Linked DNA regions of Daphnia pulex. The protein of the gene in region 3 interacts with the protein of the main gene of each other region in a pairwise test. Links are inferred from orthologs where the notes say so. Each region holds a gene or a part of one and is shown on either strand. Other genes may lie near its edges.

Evidence for each region. The genes of interacting proteins can lie anywhere in the genome.
Region 1: the proteins of neurogenic locus Notch protein-like (region 3) and neurogenic protein mastermind-like interact in a two-hybrid assay, tested with the Drosophila melanogaster proteins (5 studies listed by BioGRID). The link is inferred for Daphnia pulex from reciprocal best matches to the Drosophila melanogaster genes N and mam.
Region 2: the proteins of neurogenic locus Notch protein-like (region 3) and segment polarity protein dishevelled homolog DVL-3-like interact in a two-hybrid assay, tested with the Drosophila melanogaster proteins (3 studies listed by BioGRID). The link is inferred for Daphnia pulex from reciprocal best matches to the Drosophila melanogaster genes N and dsh.

The regions. Positions count from the first base shown.
Region 1 is NC_060024.1:12,904,765-12,909,772, reverse strand, and holds the start of neurogenic protein mastermind-like, read right to left. Parts: upstream 3,205-5,008; 5' UTR 2,261-3,204; intron 1,127-2,260; 5' UTR 985-1,126; coding exon 649-984; intron 1-648. Other genes in the region: glutamine-dependent NAD(+) synthetase-like, read left to right, coding at 3,949-4,152, 4,235-4,347, 4,408-4,492, 4,564-4,709, 4,793-5,008.
Region 2 is NC_060018.1:12,878,070-12,883,111, forward strand, and holds the start of segment polarity protein dishevelled homolog DVL-3-like, read right to left. Parts: upstream 3,205-5,042; 5' UTR 2,987-3,204; coding exon 2,826-2,986; intron 2,694-2,825; coding exon 2,624-2,693; intron 2,555-2,623; coding exon 2,466-2,554; intron 2,398-2,465; coding exon 2,318-2,397; intron 2,202-2,317; coding exon 2,133-2,201; intron 2,026-2,132; coding exon 1,879-2,025; intron 1,815-1,878; coding exon 1,577-1,814; intron 1,508-1,576; coding exon 1,379-1,507; intron 1,307-1,378; coding exon 1,179-1,306; coding exon of another isoform or gene 1,119-1,178; coding exon 1,029-1,118; intron 969-1,028; coding exon 663-968; intron 595-662; coding exon 337-594; intron 248-336; coding exon 116-247; coding exon of another isoform or gene 81-115; exon of another isoform or gene 65-80; intron 1-64.
Region 3 is NC_060028.1:5,081,864-5,086,693, forward strand, and holds the start of neurogenic locus Notch protein-like, read right to left. Parts: upstream 3,254-4,830; 5' UTR 2,978-3,253; coding exon 2,905-2,977; intron 2,279-2,904; coding exon 2,200-2,278; intron 1,820-2,199; coding exon 1,349-1,819; intron 907-1,348; coding exon 773-906; intron 280-772; coding exon 1-279. UniProt on the Drosophila melanogaster protein: Essential signaling protein which has a major role in many developmental processes. Functions as a receptor for membrane-bound ligands Delta and Serrate to regulate cell-fate determination.

The DNA of each region.
Region 1 (5,008 bases), on a different chromosome or scaffold from region 3:
CTCTACTGTACGGCCATTCCTCTACACACCTAACATCCTCGATGGCAAAATACAGGACAATGAGGTCACCGACACACACAAACACACGAAAGCGCTTGACCCGATCATCACATGATTTCTATATTTTTCTCAAAAATATTTCCTACCAAAAATACAATGAGCATTATAATTCTTCTATTTCGGGGTTTCTTGTGTTGAAATATACACACAGCGCGCACCGGTTAAATTGCGGGACACATCCTCCTCCCCCCCACAGAAAGAAAAGAAATGGGTTCGTTTGCGCTGGTTTCGCTACCGGTGATGGTGGTGAACGACCTCTTTTGATCGCATCTGTTTAACGGGTTTTTTCTTTTTCTTTCCAGTGCAGTTATAATAATCTTGGCGCTATTTTCTCACGCAAAAGTCCATCACATTTTTGTACGTAAGACATTTTCTATTTCTCCTACCCAAGAGGAGCGGGAGTAGTGTAGTAGTAGGGGTGCGGAAGGGGTAGCGGGAATCAATGATTCAGCTGGTGGGCACCACACACACACAGAGAGACAAAGAGCAACTCCTTACAGGAGCGTCGCACAAGGAGTCAAGGGATCGATGATAGGGATAGTAATAAAAAAAAGAGAGTAAAAAAGATTTCGATGGTTTGTTTCTTACCGACTGCGTGTTGCCGGCGTGAGTCTCCGTAGCCGGTTTTGTACGTTCGGTGCTGGACGGACCACCACCGGTATTAGTAGTTGAGTTGTTATTAATTCCGCCGCTACTGCTGCTGCTGCTTTTATTGCTCTTGCTGTTGCTACTCGTCTTTTTGGCTTTGGGGTCGAGATACTTTTGCTTCAATGCGAACGACTCTTGCATTTGCTGTTCGCACAAGGCCGGTCCGATTCGATCATAGTGCATAAATCGATCCTGATGATCCTTGGTGTAGACTTCGACTCGCCTCCGCAGTCGATCCACGGCCGCCTGACGTTTCGGAGGCAGCACCTCCGACATTACTCCGCACGCAACCAATAATCTTATTGGCTGCCCCGCTCTTAGCTCCACATCCGTTGAGGCTCCAGTCTGCTGCTGCTGCTGCTGCTACTCGAATGCTTTAATCTTTCCACAACATGGCCTGTTTTCATGCTGAATCAACCTGCAATTGCAAAATATCACGTTATTAAATCATTCGTCAAACAAACAAGGAATACTAAAAATTGACGTTAAGAACAGACAGACAAACATCCACAAGGTCGTGATATAAAAACTATAAAACACACAATAACCTTGGACTCTTTCAAACACTTGGAATTTATAGATTTCCCAGTAGTATGTACCAGAACTTTTGTTTTTCCCTGGAAACTCTCTCTCTCTCTCTGATATCGAAATTGAATTGCAACCCGAAGAAAGAAAAAACTCTTTGAACACAATACTTTTATATTTTTTTTTGAAAAAAAAGGGCCACCACTTGTGTAATGAGACGATGGGTTTCCAAATGATGGCCTTGTGTCTACTGCTTTCCCTACCCCTCCCAGTCGAGTCCCCCCTTCCTCCACACACACACACATTTCGAAAGGGAGTTTCTCGCGCGCTTGTCAAACAACACCACCTAGCGAGCGGGTTAACAACCACTTGACGCGTCACTAACTGGGAAAAACTGAAAGATGAACATAAAAGAAAAGAGGAAGGGGAGAGACAAAATATTTTCTCTCTCCCCACACACAACCACACACACCCTTCGGAAACAACCCCAGGTTCGAAATATATGCTGGGGCTTGTTCCCCTCACTGTGAAATAAAAAACCCTCAACCATTCAAATTTCTCAGTGTGTGTGTGTATGGGGCTCCTCAATGAACAAAACCTAAAAATGGACGTTGACTGGAAATCAAAACACACAGACGCTGGGAATATATATGACCAACACGTTTTGACCCCCCCTTTCGATGCATCCTCCTATACACACACACACACACAGACATAAGAGAGTGAAATATTGATTGCAATCTCACGCTGGTGTTGTGTGTGTGCGGTTTGATAGTGACGCGGGCGGAAGGTCCCCCCAAAAACCAATTCGGTCAAAAAATACAAAAATCCCCCAAGAAAACAACCGGCATGATGATTATTACATGCAATCAATTGTCTCTATGACCGGATGGTTACTCAACTTATACTCACTCAACAGGTTACAACAATATTTTAAGAAAGCACATGTGTCATTCCACACACGCCATTTTTGTTGGCGAAATTTTCTCTCCCCCCCCCCATCCCACAAGAAATGATGATTGCATACCTGCATGTGCCGAGTTTGAATAGATCCGCAGAGATGAGGTTAGAGGTATGTGGTAGTAGTGAGTAAGTGGTAAGTCTTAAATTGTGCAATAATCCAAGACACGAGACTCGGCTTGCTTTTGGCCAGATTCCAGTCGACACACAGACACTGCAACACACACCACACACACACCACACGTCCAACACGTAACACACTCGTTGGATATATGTCCCCACCAAAGTTTATGCTTGCGCCAAAAAATAAAAAAGAGACTCGGCAGCACAGACACACCGAGAATTCAATTTTCGAAAAAAAGAAAGCCAATCGATTGAGTCATTTGAACGTTTTTTTGTGGTGGGGAGTAATGGCGATTTTTTCCAAGACTAATTATTCGTCGAAATTGAGGGAGAAACACACACGACACCAGTGAGAGAGAGAGATCGATTTCGTCGGGGATTTGGTGTGTTTGTGTGTGTGATTGACGAAGAAGAGGGGGAAAAAAAATGATTTTGTTCGGAGAAGTTTCAGAGATACGTCTCGTTCTCGTTCAGCAGCAACTTCGACTGAACACAATTGCCACATTGGCTTGGAGAGTCCCCCCAGCCCCAGCCGTTCGGAGCTGTTAGCCGTCGGCACCTTGATACTCGTAGTCAAGCACACGTCAAAATGTGTGTCTGCTTTTTCAGTTGGGGTGGGGGGGATATCTATTTTATTTTACGTGGCGCTACACCACGTAATTCAAACGTTGGAAAATATTCGACTGAAATTCGATAGAAACGTCCAAGTTGATGAATATACATTTATTTTTAAGAGAGAAAGCTCAATAATGACGACTTTCCGTATTAACAGGAGAGAGACGGATTTGACCACATTTCACTTGAAAAGCCAACGGAAAAGCCAAGCGAAAAAAGAAAAGAAAGAAAAAAGAGAGAGGGAGAGACTCGGGCTCTTCCCCGACAGACAGCGCCACAGCGGCCACGGCTGCAGACGCCACCCGTTTTCTTTCCTCTCTCTTTCGCCTCTCTCCTTTCATCCTGATTTCCTCCCTTCCCTCCGCTTTCGTTTACAGTTTCGGCCGCGCGTCTTACTTGAAAATAATTTTTTTTTGTCTTCTTCTCTCTTTCTAGATTTTTCGTGTGTTGGATTTTCATTTTATTGGGACACATTTTTTTTTTGTTTTCTATTTTCTTTTGACCTCTCAACTGTCATCTAGCGGCCAATGCGACCAACGATATACTAACGTCACATTTCTATAACTTAAATGCTATTTTCTCAATGCTAAACGCGCATAATAATTAGCTACGAGACAACATCTTGATGCAAACACGTAATAATAATACGTAAGGCAATAGGAGATGAAATTATTATGCCATTAACTGATGAAAATCTGCTCGTAAAAAGCCTATGCTTAATAATAAATCTACCAAGGCCGCACTGCAGGTCACAATGACTAACGGTCGTCGAGACGTCGACACACACAAAAAAGGAGGAAGGGGAAAAAAAAGTTACTTTCTACCAAAAACTGGCAATGCTGTATGTTTACCTCGGCGAAAAGAAAAACAAACCTTCCGTCCCGCTGATTTGTCGATTTGACAGTTGCTCTGGTAACGTTAGTATTGGCAAAGTAATAAAAAACCTGTTGGGTCGATTTCCGCAGCTTGGCAAGAAGGTAAAAAGGAAATAGTATTAAATCAGTCAACGAGGAGAACATGGGGCGCAAAGTTGTAGTCGCCGTTTGCTGCTTGAACCAGTGGGCTTTGGATTTCGACGGAAATCTGTCACGCATCATCGCCAGCATCCAAGAAGCAAAAGTACAAGGTGCTAGTTATCGCACAGGACCCGAATTAGAAGTCACAGGATACAGCTGTGAAGATCATTTTTATGAAGCTGACACTCTTCTACACAGCTGGGAGGTTAGCGTGTCACTTTTCTGATTTATGTTTACTGCGGTTTGTTTCTGGGAAATCTAGAAAATGATCTTTGATCCTCAAATAGGTTTTGGCTGAACTATTAGCCAGTCCAGTATGCAAAAATATTTTAGTTGATGTTGGCATGCCGGTTATGCACAAGAGTGTCACTTACAATTGCAGAGTTGCTTTTTTCAATGGGTAAGCAATTGTTTTATTGTTATTATGCTCTTCTTATAAACAGTACCCCCCTTTTCGCAGAAAAATCTTGCTGATTCGTCCTAAATTGAAACTCTGTGATGATGGCAATTACAGAGAATCAAGATGGTTCACTGCCTGGACAAAAGTATAAAATTTATTTTACACCAGTTTTTGGGATCTGTGGCCTTAATTAAATGTGAATTATTTTGTAAACAGCTTTACCAAACAGAGGATTACATATTGCCAGAGTTTATAAGAGAGCTTACAGGGCAAAAATCTGTAGTTTTTGGAGATGCAGTCCTGGAAACCTTGGATACCACCATAGGTTTTGAAATTTGTGAAGAATTGTGGAATCCCTCCAGGTACAGTTGTACTTGCAAATGAATATTATTATTGTTTGTTGTTTTAATGACCAGTAAAACCCAATATGCACACTATTTGGTAGTACTCACATTTCTCTCGGTTTGGACGGCGTTGAATTCATCGTCAACGGGTCGGGTTCCTACTTTGAGTTGCGCAAGGCCAACGTTGCCGTCGATCTTGTCCTACAAGCAACATTAAAGTCCGGCGGTTGCTACTTATTCTCAAATTTAAGAGGCTGCGATGGACAGCGTATCATGTTTAATGGAGGATCGTGTATCGCACTTAACGGACAAACAAT
Region 2 (5,042 bases), on a different chromosome or scaffold from region 3:
AAAACGAAGCTGCTCTTTATTATTCCTTTAAATACAAAACTCTTGATTGCATTCAAATACACACATGCCATTTGTAGGTATCATCGTCTTTGCTGTCTTAAAGAGACTGTATTACCCGTACTAGAACCGCTGCTGCTGGATGACCCATGGATTCCTGGTCCGACGGGATTTACTGCGCCTAGCAGAGAAGGTGGTTGACTTCTGTCTCCACCCATCAGTCCACTGCGTACGTCGGATCCACTGCTCCCTGTTTGTTATTACAACGTCAACATATTTGAAGTTCGACTTTCACAATACAGTTTGTAAGGATTCAATTAATCGAATTTGGAGGGTTACCTGAACCACTGTGAACGCTGCCTTCTCTTCCATACGTAAATGTAGTACTTTGTACAGGCGCCGATCCGAGGGGATCACTGCTGTAGCTGTAAGGCATGGGCGCATAACCGGTTGGATAATAAGGTATGTGAGGGGTAGCCCCACCGGCTCCTGTAGCACCAGGCCCACTACCCCAAGGAGTCGGCAACGGCAACGGTGCGAGCGTGTCTCTATCGGCTTCCGATGTCGTGTCATCAGTCAGGCGAAGAGCCGAAACACCTACAAGATAAAACCCTTTCATCAAACAAAATATTCTATAACCCGATAAGTCTCAAATGTCAACTCACCCAAACACAGGTCTCCGAACACGTAGTAACATTGTTCAGAGAATGTGTACTTGTTTACTGTATGTCTGATGTAACCGTTTCGCAGAAGCTGGGAAGCCAACTTGCGGGCATCACGCCGCTCTTCTAGTCCTTGCACGCGATTGTGAAGCCAGTCGACCACTTCTGATCCAATAAACGCACTTGGAATTACAATTTTTAACCAAAGGCGATCTCTAACTTCAAGTCCGGAATCTGGGCGCGCCATCGCTCGCACAATTGCGAGCATGTCTGAGCGCACTGAAAGCGGTTGGGCTTCTTCAACTGGACCTGTGACAAGTAGTACTTAGTCAAAAGTTCTTTCGGTACATTTTCTACGTGACAACTTACGTTCGGTTTCTGGCATACTCGACATCATTGTTGTGGTGGTTGACGACATCGTCGCCACAGATGGCGGACGATTCGGGTACTGCGTTCCACCTAATATGACGTTAGATTTGTTGTTGGATGCCAATTTATGATTTAAAATACGACAATCACCTCTTGCTGCTTCCGTGTGAGCAACCCACGCACCGGGATCAATAGGGCGAACAGGTTCCGTACGGGGTATAGTGAAATATCCTTTTGGATTAGGATCCCAACACTTGGCGACTACAAGTTTGATTGGGCTGACACATGCAAATAAAAAACACAATGTACTAAATGTTAAGTTGGAAAACAAAAAAAACAGTTATGCTTACCCAGGTTTCTGGACAACTTCTCGTAAAACGCGAACGGCATCGTCATTTGACATATTTTCAAAGTTAATATCATTGACTTGAAGGATCATGTCACCAGGCTCGATTCGACCATCCAAAGCGACAGCCCCACTAAATAATAGCAATGATTTTCATTTGAAATTACCACAAGAAATATGTCAGGTTCATCTGTGTTTATACCCTTTCATTATGGATCCTACGTAAATTCCACCATCACCACCTTGATGACTCTGGCCGACGATGGAAATTCCTAAAAAGTTGACTGTGTCCATGTTGAGGGTGACAGTGATTATGTTGAGTGACATAGTGGAATCCGTGATACTGGAGAATGATGAAGCTCGAGATGAAAGAGGAGGGAGGCGGGGACGGCGACGATTACGTCTCCGATTGCGACCTTGGCGAGACACACTAGTGTGATCTGCAAATTTCAAAATATGCAAAATTTTCAATAAATCCAGAGTTATTATAACTTTGCTTAATACCCGTGGTCGTTGTGATACGTGAAGATGCATCTTCTTCAGAGTCAACGAAGCTGGTCGACTCTAAATCCGAGCTGATCATAGAAGAGGATTCATATTCGTGTCCAGCTCTGTGTCTCATAGCGTTGTGGCCATTTCGAGGAGCTTGAACTAAAGAGACAATCGGATGTTAATCGAATATATAGTAAGATAAGACATTCTACATGAAAATTTAGTGAAGCAACAATCTACAAAAAAAGCCATGCTAACAAACTCACCATCAAAGCGATCATATTTTTCATAAGTTTCACGATGCACACGGCCAGAGCGGGGCAATATGTGCCTCTCTTCATGGCAAAACATAAAGAACAAAAGAATTGCAGAAGATAACGAAAAATGAGATGCAACAGGACAAAGGTAAACACATAAACATAAAAATACAGCATAAGGAAATAAAGTTTACCACTGTGTCTTGAACTAATGACCGATTCTGTCTCAGTAGCTGTTGTGTATTCCTCAGCCATACTTCTGTTATGGCCAGGGCTAAAATCAAATGACGAGTTAATTACCAAACTTTACAAGCAGTGAAAATTTGTAAAGAAAAAACTCACTGGAAAGACGGTGGTCTCCCATCAGTAGTGGCAGTACTCTCAGCACATTGAGATACAGAGTCTGAAATGCTACTTTCAGCTGATACTAGCTACAAAGTGAAAGAAACATTAAGACATCTTAAAATATTCATCAATATAATTTAACTTGTTACGTTTACCCATGATATGACTCTTCCATTGAAACATGGAAGGTGAGCATCGTCATCAACAATTTCTTCCTTGACAACACTAGAAACATAAACAATAAAGAGAAAACAATGCTTACACTTGCATAAAAAAATAACTACATGGACAATTATCATGTAACACGTTATTGCCACTTGACAACAACAAAAAAAAAACGAGAAAAACTGGTTTTACCCGAAATCGTCGTCCATTGATTTGAAGAAAAATTTGTAATTTGGACGATTGAGAACATTCTTGAAATCGGCTAGGGTAACTTGATCGGGAGATATTGTAAGTTTAACAAGATAGGGAGTTTCTTCTTCGTCAATGTGGTAAATAATCTTTGTTTCCGCCATTAGGAAACTGCGTCAAGAGTCAACGACAACAAACCAATCGTTTTGACAAGATTACAAAAACGGGTAGGGCGTCAAAAGTTACTATCTGCGCAACATGAAGAGGACTGAATAGTGAATACAGACTTTTCCCCTTTCCCTCAGGCTGTTCAATATGGCGAGGCTTAAAGTCTTGTGAGCCTCCAATTGGGCGTCCCGGTTTTCCCAAAAAATATTAACGTCAGCCGACAGATGGTTTTTCCGACCCGCTATCCACAGCGTAGCCATCTACTGCTCACACTGCACACTACTTGCTTCAAATTCAAATCTGGCAAAAAGGGGGGATCTTCAAAAAGGGCTGTTGTTCGTGATTTTTGTTTCATTTAAAAAAATAAAATAGCATATAACGTTGAATAACTCGCTAACGGCCGTGATATATTAATAATACAATAATCATTAATCATGGTGAATTGGTGATCTTACTATCGTATCCATAGTAATATAATATAATATATATTAATATTTATTCATAAAATAATAATTAATATGTATTCTAGCTTTGGTTATCATGTAAGCTGTAAAGATTCCTTAAATTTTCGATTGCTTTTAGGTTGTGGTATCATGGCAAAAGGGCAGCAAGCTAGTAGCCAGTAGTGATGTTTCGTTAGTGCTTTTTCTAAACGTTAGCGTTATCCGTTAAGTTAACGATGTCTCATTTTTTCACGTTCGTTAACGCCGTTAATTAACGCCGTTAAAAATGTCTCCGTTAACGAAAATTCGACGTTATTTTTACCGTTATTTAATAAAAAAATTGCACTATCAAATCACTGAAATCAGTCACGGTCTTGATTACTTATATTTAAATTGCTGCTGGCGTTGAACAATGTCACAATGAAGCAATGATCAACTAAAAAAAACAGAAACTGCGGATTAAATAAACGCACAGACAAAAGAAAAAAAAACAAGTTCCAACTAAAAAAGTAAAGGCCTCAATAAATCCTTATTGCAAGTGAGGAAGACTTTTGCGGCCAAAACTTCTTCCGCCGTCCTATTTTTGTGTCCTAGACAGTGCCATCCGGCAATGGAAAATTCGCGTTCAGATGATGCCGAAGAAACTGGTATAACCAGTAAATTATAGGCCATTTTGGATAATTAGGGGAAACGACCAGACAAATCCTTCCAGTAAGAGATCACATCTTGAACTGGTGGATCCTTAGAAGGATCAAATTCATGACTTGCAAAGTGGAAGTTGTCTAAAAGTTCAGTTTCAATGCAGTCGAGGGAAGTGGCTAGAAGGTAGGAGCAGTCGAAATCAGGATCTCTTTAATCTGTCATGAAATTAAATCTTCTTTCGAGATCTTCTAACATCGCAGATGCCACGCTTATTCACCGTCAACAGGAGCATCAGAGTCTGAATCTGACATTAAAGATTTACACTCTGATTCTAGTTGTTTCCCTACTCTACTTATACAGTTTCGTTTGCCACGTTTTGAAAGCAAAAAAAAACCTCAGAGAAGCTAAGAAGACTACTGCTCACTGTCATTGGCTATTTAAATTCGTTTTCATAGTCAACCTACTACAGTAAAATGTTGGAAGCGCGCAAAAAATACAAATTTCATTTTGAAAAATCCAAAAATTTCATATTTGGCAGCGCTGTTAAAAACAAAAATAACGTCTGAAAATAACGTCTGAAAAATGCCAAACGTTAGCGTTATCCGTTAAGTTAACGAACCCCAAAAAAGGTCCGTTAACGGACTTTTCACGTTATCCGTTATCGTTAACGAAACATCACTAGTAGCCAGTTCTCACTGAAGTTCGTCTGCCACCACTCACCAGCATTGGCAGCATTTTTTTGCAAACGTGCAAAGTTTCAATCATGAGATGGTTTGATTGTAGTGAGCATTTGTCTAATGAGTTCACGCAAAAGTTTGCTTTTTTTTTTCTTCTCGATTGCCTCACGAAAGCAGTCAAATCAAGGAAATGTTTATATTCAATGGGCCCAGATCACATCAAGGCATGGATGGATGGTTTCACCCATATTGGACTTTTCAATCTTTGTTTGCTCAAACAAAAAAAGGGC
Region 3 (4,830 bases):
CGGCGCAATCATCGATATTCTCCGAGCAGTCGGATCCAGTCCAGCCGTTGACGCAAATGCAGGAGAATCCACCGTGGGTGTTGGTACAAGTAGCGCCGTTCTTGCAGACGCTAGGCCTCAAAGCACATTCATCGACGTCTTGATTACAATAAGGCCCCGTAAAGGATGGTGGACACTGGCATGTGTAGGAATTGACGCCATCGACGCAAGTGGCTCCATTCTGGCATAAATGACCGGGGCAGTCGTTGACATTTTCTTGGCAATTGGTACCAGCAAAGCCTAGAATTTTGATAATCAGAAGAAAGGGGGGAAATATTAGATTCGTGTTAAAGGGAAAATGGCAACGCTGTAAGTAGACAGGAAAGAATTCTTTGTTGGTCATCGCCCAGGTGTTCTTTTTTTTAGAGAAAGGTGGAGGGGTCGGAACATAAAAGAGCCTGGAGAGATTTGAGAGAGAGAGAGAGAGGGGCTCGGATATTTATATTCAAGTCTCTCTGGATGGACGAGGTTTGCCCCGAGGGTATAACAAGTTTTGGCTTTCTTGTGTGTGTGGGAATGTTCCCACCGATGGAAACCAAGCACATCCGAAATCTGATGACTTTAGATTTAAACTTCATTTTAACAGCCGACAATGACTTTATGGCTACTCTAACCAGATTCAATGTTGTTGTTGTTTCTTTTTGGTTGTTGGGACCAACAATTCGTTTCAGTTGTCATAAATTTACCGGAAAGAAGAGGAATAAAAGGTTCAATCAAATTTTATGAGACTTACCAGGCGGACAACGGCATTCGTAGTTGAGAGAATCGATGGCTTTGCACGCACCACCATTCTGGCATGGAGACGGACTGCATGGCACATACTGATTTTCGCAATTCTGGCCAGTATAACCCGTGTGGCAGTTACATCTGGAAAATAAAAAAAGTAAACGGATACAAACGGATGATTAGCGCCCGGCATGATACAAACATGAGACGAGACACACACAGACACGTGACGAGAAAGTACAAATAAATTCAATCTGGTGTCTACTGACCACGGCGATTTAATGGACTTGTTTTCGCCTCGGCCGTTCCCACGCTAACTCGACAATGAAAGCCTTGAAAAATTTAATTTCTTTTTTGTCCTCTTTTAATATTTTTGGAAGGAAACTACATTTTTAAAAAAATGTTGAATAGAAGATAATAATAAAGATGTGACGAAAAAATTTCCCCTCGGACTTTCTTTGGTCGGCGTCAACAACTTTGTTGAGTCAGCTTGGTAATCATTTGACAATCATGACGTCGAGATAAGGATGCCAAGAAAGATCAACAGATGGTTGACGACAAGAGTCAATACGACTGGACTCACTTGTATGATCCGTGGGTGTTGACACAGCGACCGTGGATGCACGGGTTGCGTTTACACTCGTCAATGTCCACAGCGCACGTCGGGCCAGCGAATCCAGGAGCGCAAGTGCAGCGGTGAGAGTCCGACAAAGACGTGCACTGGGCACCGTTTTTGCACGGATGCAGGGCGCAGTGGTCGACAGCTTCGCATTTGGCGCCGCGGAATCCCGACGAGCAGGCGCAGGTGTAGTTATCCAGCGTGCGGAGTAGACACGTTCCGCCGTGTTGGCACGGCCCAGTGTCGCAGGCGTTGGGCACGGGAATCTCGCACAGCGAGGCCGAGTAACCCAGCGGACACGAACAGGAGAAGCTGGGCACGGCATTAGTCGACATTTTGACGGCGCAAGTGCCGCCATTTTGGCACCGAGGTCCGGGTCCCGTATGGCAGGGGTTGGCAAATTGGCAGTACTCGCCCACGTATTGCGGCGGACAGCTGTAAAAAATAAAAATAAAAAGAGTTAATCATTTGTTTCACAAGTGATTGGAGCAACTGGACCATGTGTATCAAAGCATAATCCCCAAAAATAAAAAATCAACGTTCCCCCCCTTCTACTACCACCTCCACTACCAGACAAAGAAAAAGAGCTGGAGGCAGTACGTGAGCAGCTCGGGCCCAAACCGGATGGAACAAAAAAAAAAAGTGGACAAGGTGGTGGTGGTAGGGTGGCTGACGGTAGGTGGTTTCAATAGCCCAAACTATGCAGACCAGCTTGTTTCCCACGCTTCTGAGCGAGAGAGACTCTACCATTGGAGAGAGAGAGAGAGGGGGGGGGGGATAGATCTCCCCTGTAGACTTTCAACAATGGACGTTACCTGCAGTAAGACTCGCCGCGCGGGTTGGAGACGCACGACGCTCCATTCTTGCAGGGATTGGGCGAACACGAAACGAATCCTGGAATAAATAAAAAAAAAAGAAAAAAAATTACAGTTAATTATTATTATTGATTTGAGTGAATGATAATACACACACACAAAAAGAGCAACGGAAACGGGTCCACTATCATGCACTTCCGCCCTGATAGAGGATACGATTCAATGGACATACGACGCTATTGTCTAACATCATTAACTCATGACTATCAAATAACATGTGGCCTAACGCTATGTGACACCACCAAAATGTCTTGGCTGATGAAAATGTCTTGAAACTTAATCATCTCACGATGTCTTTATTCGCCGGATATGTTGGTCATCACCATATTCTTTTTTTAATTTTAAAAAATAAATAAAATGATTTGCTGAGATCTCGGCAACGTCGATCAACAGGTCGGAGAGGGGGGGGGGGGGGGGGAGAGAGAAGGACAATGAGAGCGTCGGTTGGAGGGGGGATTTAAATGCGTGGGAAATGTAAAGCCCTACGGGGCCCGGCGTCTTTTTTTGAAAAGAAGAGCAGATGCAACAAAACTCTAACCGTCATCCCAACTACTTTTTTCAGACTCCCCCCTACCTTTAATGAAACAATCGTCATGAGGTAATTTTAAGCCACACGAATATTCGAGACAAAAACGTCAAGGTTACCTTGAACTGAAGCTGAGAAGAAGACGAGAATGCCCAGCAACAGCATCAGTAATCCACTGCGGTCGGTCCCCATTTTTAATGGCAGCAACAAAAACAGGGACTCACACACACTTAACGTTTCTTTCTTTCTTCTCTCCCTCTTTGTGTTGAATAGATGAAAAATTAAATCACTCAAAACACCAACACTTTCAGCCACTGGGTCATGGTGATGCACTTTTTCTCTTGTTTTTACACACTTTTCCAGTAAAGAGATTTTTTGTTAAACTCAGATGCACACAGAGAAAAATGGAAGAAATTCAAGCAGCAGCGACACAGTACATCCTTCCCGTTCAACGGACGCTTCTCGACTGGCCGGAGGGAGTCGCTCTATCAGAATAACTGGCCTCGAGGCAAAACCACCGACAACCAATCAGAGTCCGACTTGTTCTCTTCCTTTCTCCTTGCAATCTCCGCGGGTTTTCTTGCTGCACACAGAGAAGAAAAATTATAATACACAAGAACAAAATTGAAATTGCGCCTATTCTTCTTCCAGTATTCTGTCACTCGGCCAAACGTGTCGCCTATAATAACGATTTTTCTCAACCACAGAGTTATTTGTATTTGTGGTATATTCTAGATGAAACTTTGATTGCGAGTCTAACAAGTTCATGACTTGGTTTCTTCTATTTCACAAACATGTAGAATAGAATTCCCCGAAGAAAGTAATTAAAGCCGAAAGAAGGGAGCTTCTCAAAGAATTTTGGGGCCGATCATAAAAGACCCAAGAGGAATACTAGGCCTAGAAATATATTTTTATATTGTCTGATTTCCGTAGGGATGAAATATCCCCCCATCCATCATACAGGGGAAAAAGTGACATCGTCCAAATCTTTCCAGCAACTTTCCCTTTTAGTGAAGCCGATTGGAAAAAGGACCTGTCGATTTGTTTTTGACTGGGATCGTGACGCCTTTAAGCTCCTCATCCAGTTGACATGTCCGTCCATTGTTTTTCTGCCATTCCGCGCATGGTATAATCAGCCGTAAAAGTGGGCTACATCACGAAAGCAGCTCGTTGTCGAGCCCACAAAAAAATAATGCAATTGAGAAAGAAACAGTCTGATGCACCATACGAAAAACGGAAAAAGAAGGTAGAAACTAGATGACCGGCAATCATCATCAAGCTCCAGGAATCCGAAGGCCGCATCATGTAGACCGTGATTGATCATTCAACTGGCGCCGCCGGAATCATCTTCTGCGTTCTACCCATTGCGTGATGCGCCTTTCATCATATTTATATTCATTTCTTCTTCTGCCTATGGCTCTGCATCATTCATATTTTTATTTGTGTCATATACGCCTCGAACCGAAATTTCCTTTTTTTTTCCCCATTTTACATTCGATCCGCGCTGATTGGTTCTCATCATCTACCGTGCAGTTAGACACGAAAATCATCAGGTCTTTCCCGTTGGGATAAAAGGGTTAACGAGATACCCAAACTTAGAACTAAACCAACTTGTTCCTGCATTGACTTGTTCGTATTCCTCGAGCGTAAAACCCAAACAATCAACTCAATGCTCTATCGATGGTCACGTGACCAAACCCCCTTCACCACAAGTGGTGGTGGGGTAGTTGCGACAGATTGGCAGCAACTGTTGCACATGTAAACCACTCAAACGGATCACAAAAAGTAGGGGGGAATTGAATCAAACGATCAAATGGAGAGGGGTGAAATGGTTATCCGTGGGAACGGAATAAAAAAAAAAAACTCGTTTCTAGGCCTCTAAAAAAGAAAAGGAAAATTCGCTTCGTGATAAATCGATCCAACCTATTTCTCCAGTCGTGTGGAGCGCAACCGTTGACCCCGTGTCTAGATCTGTCAAAAATGATAATCGGGACAATGAAATCATTTGTCGTTCGTGAGTAGATGCAAACACCGGACAGAGCCAA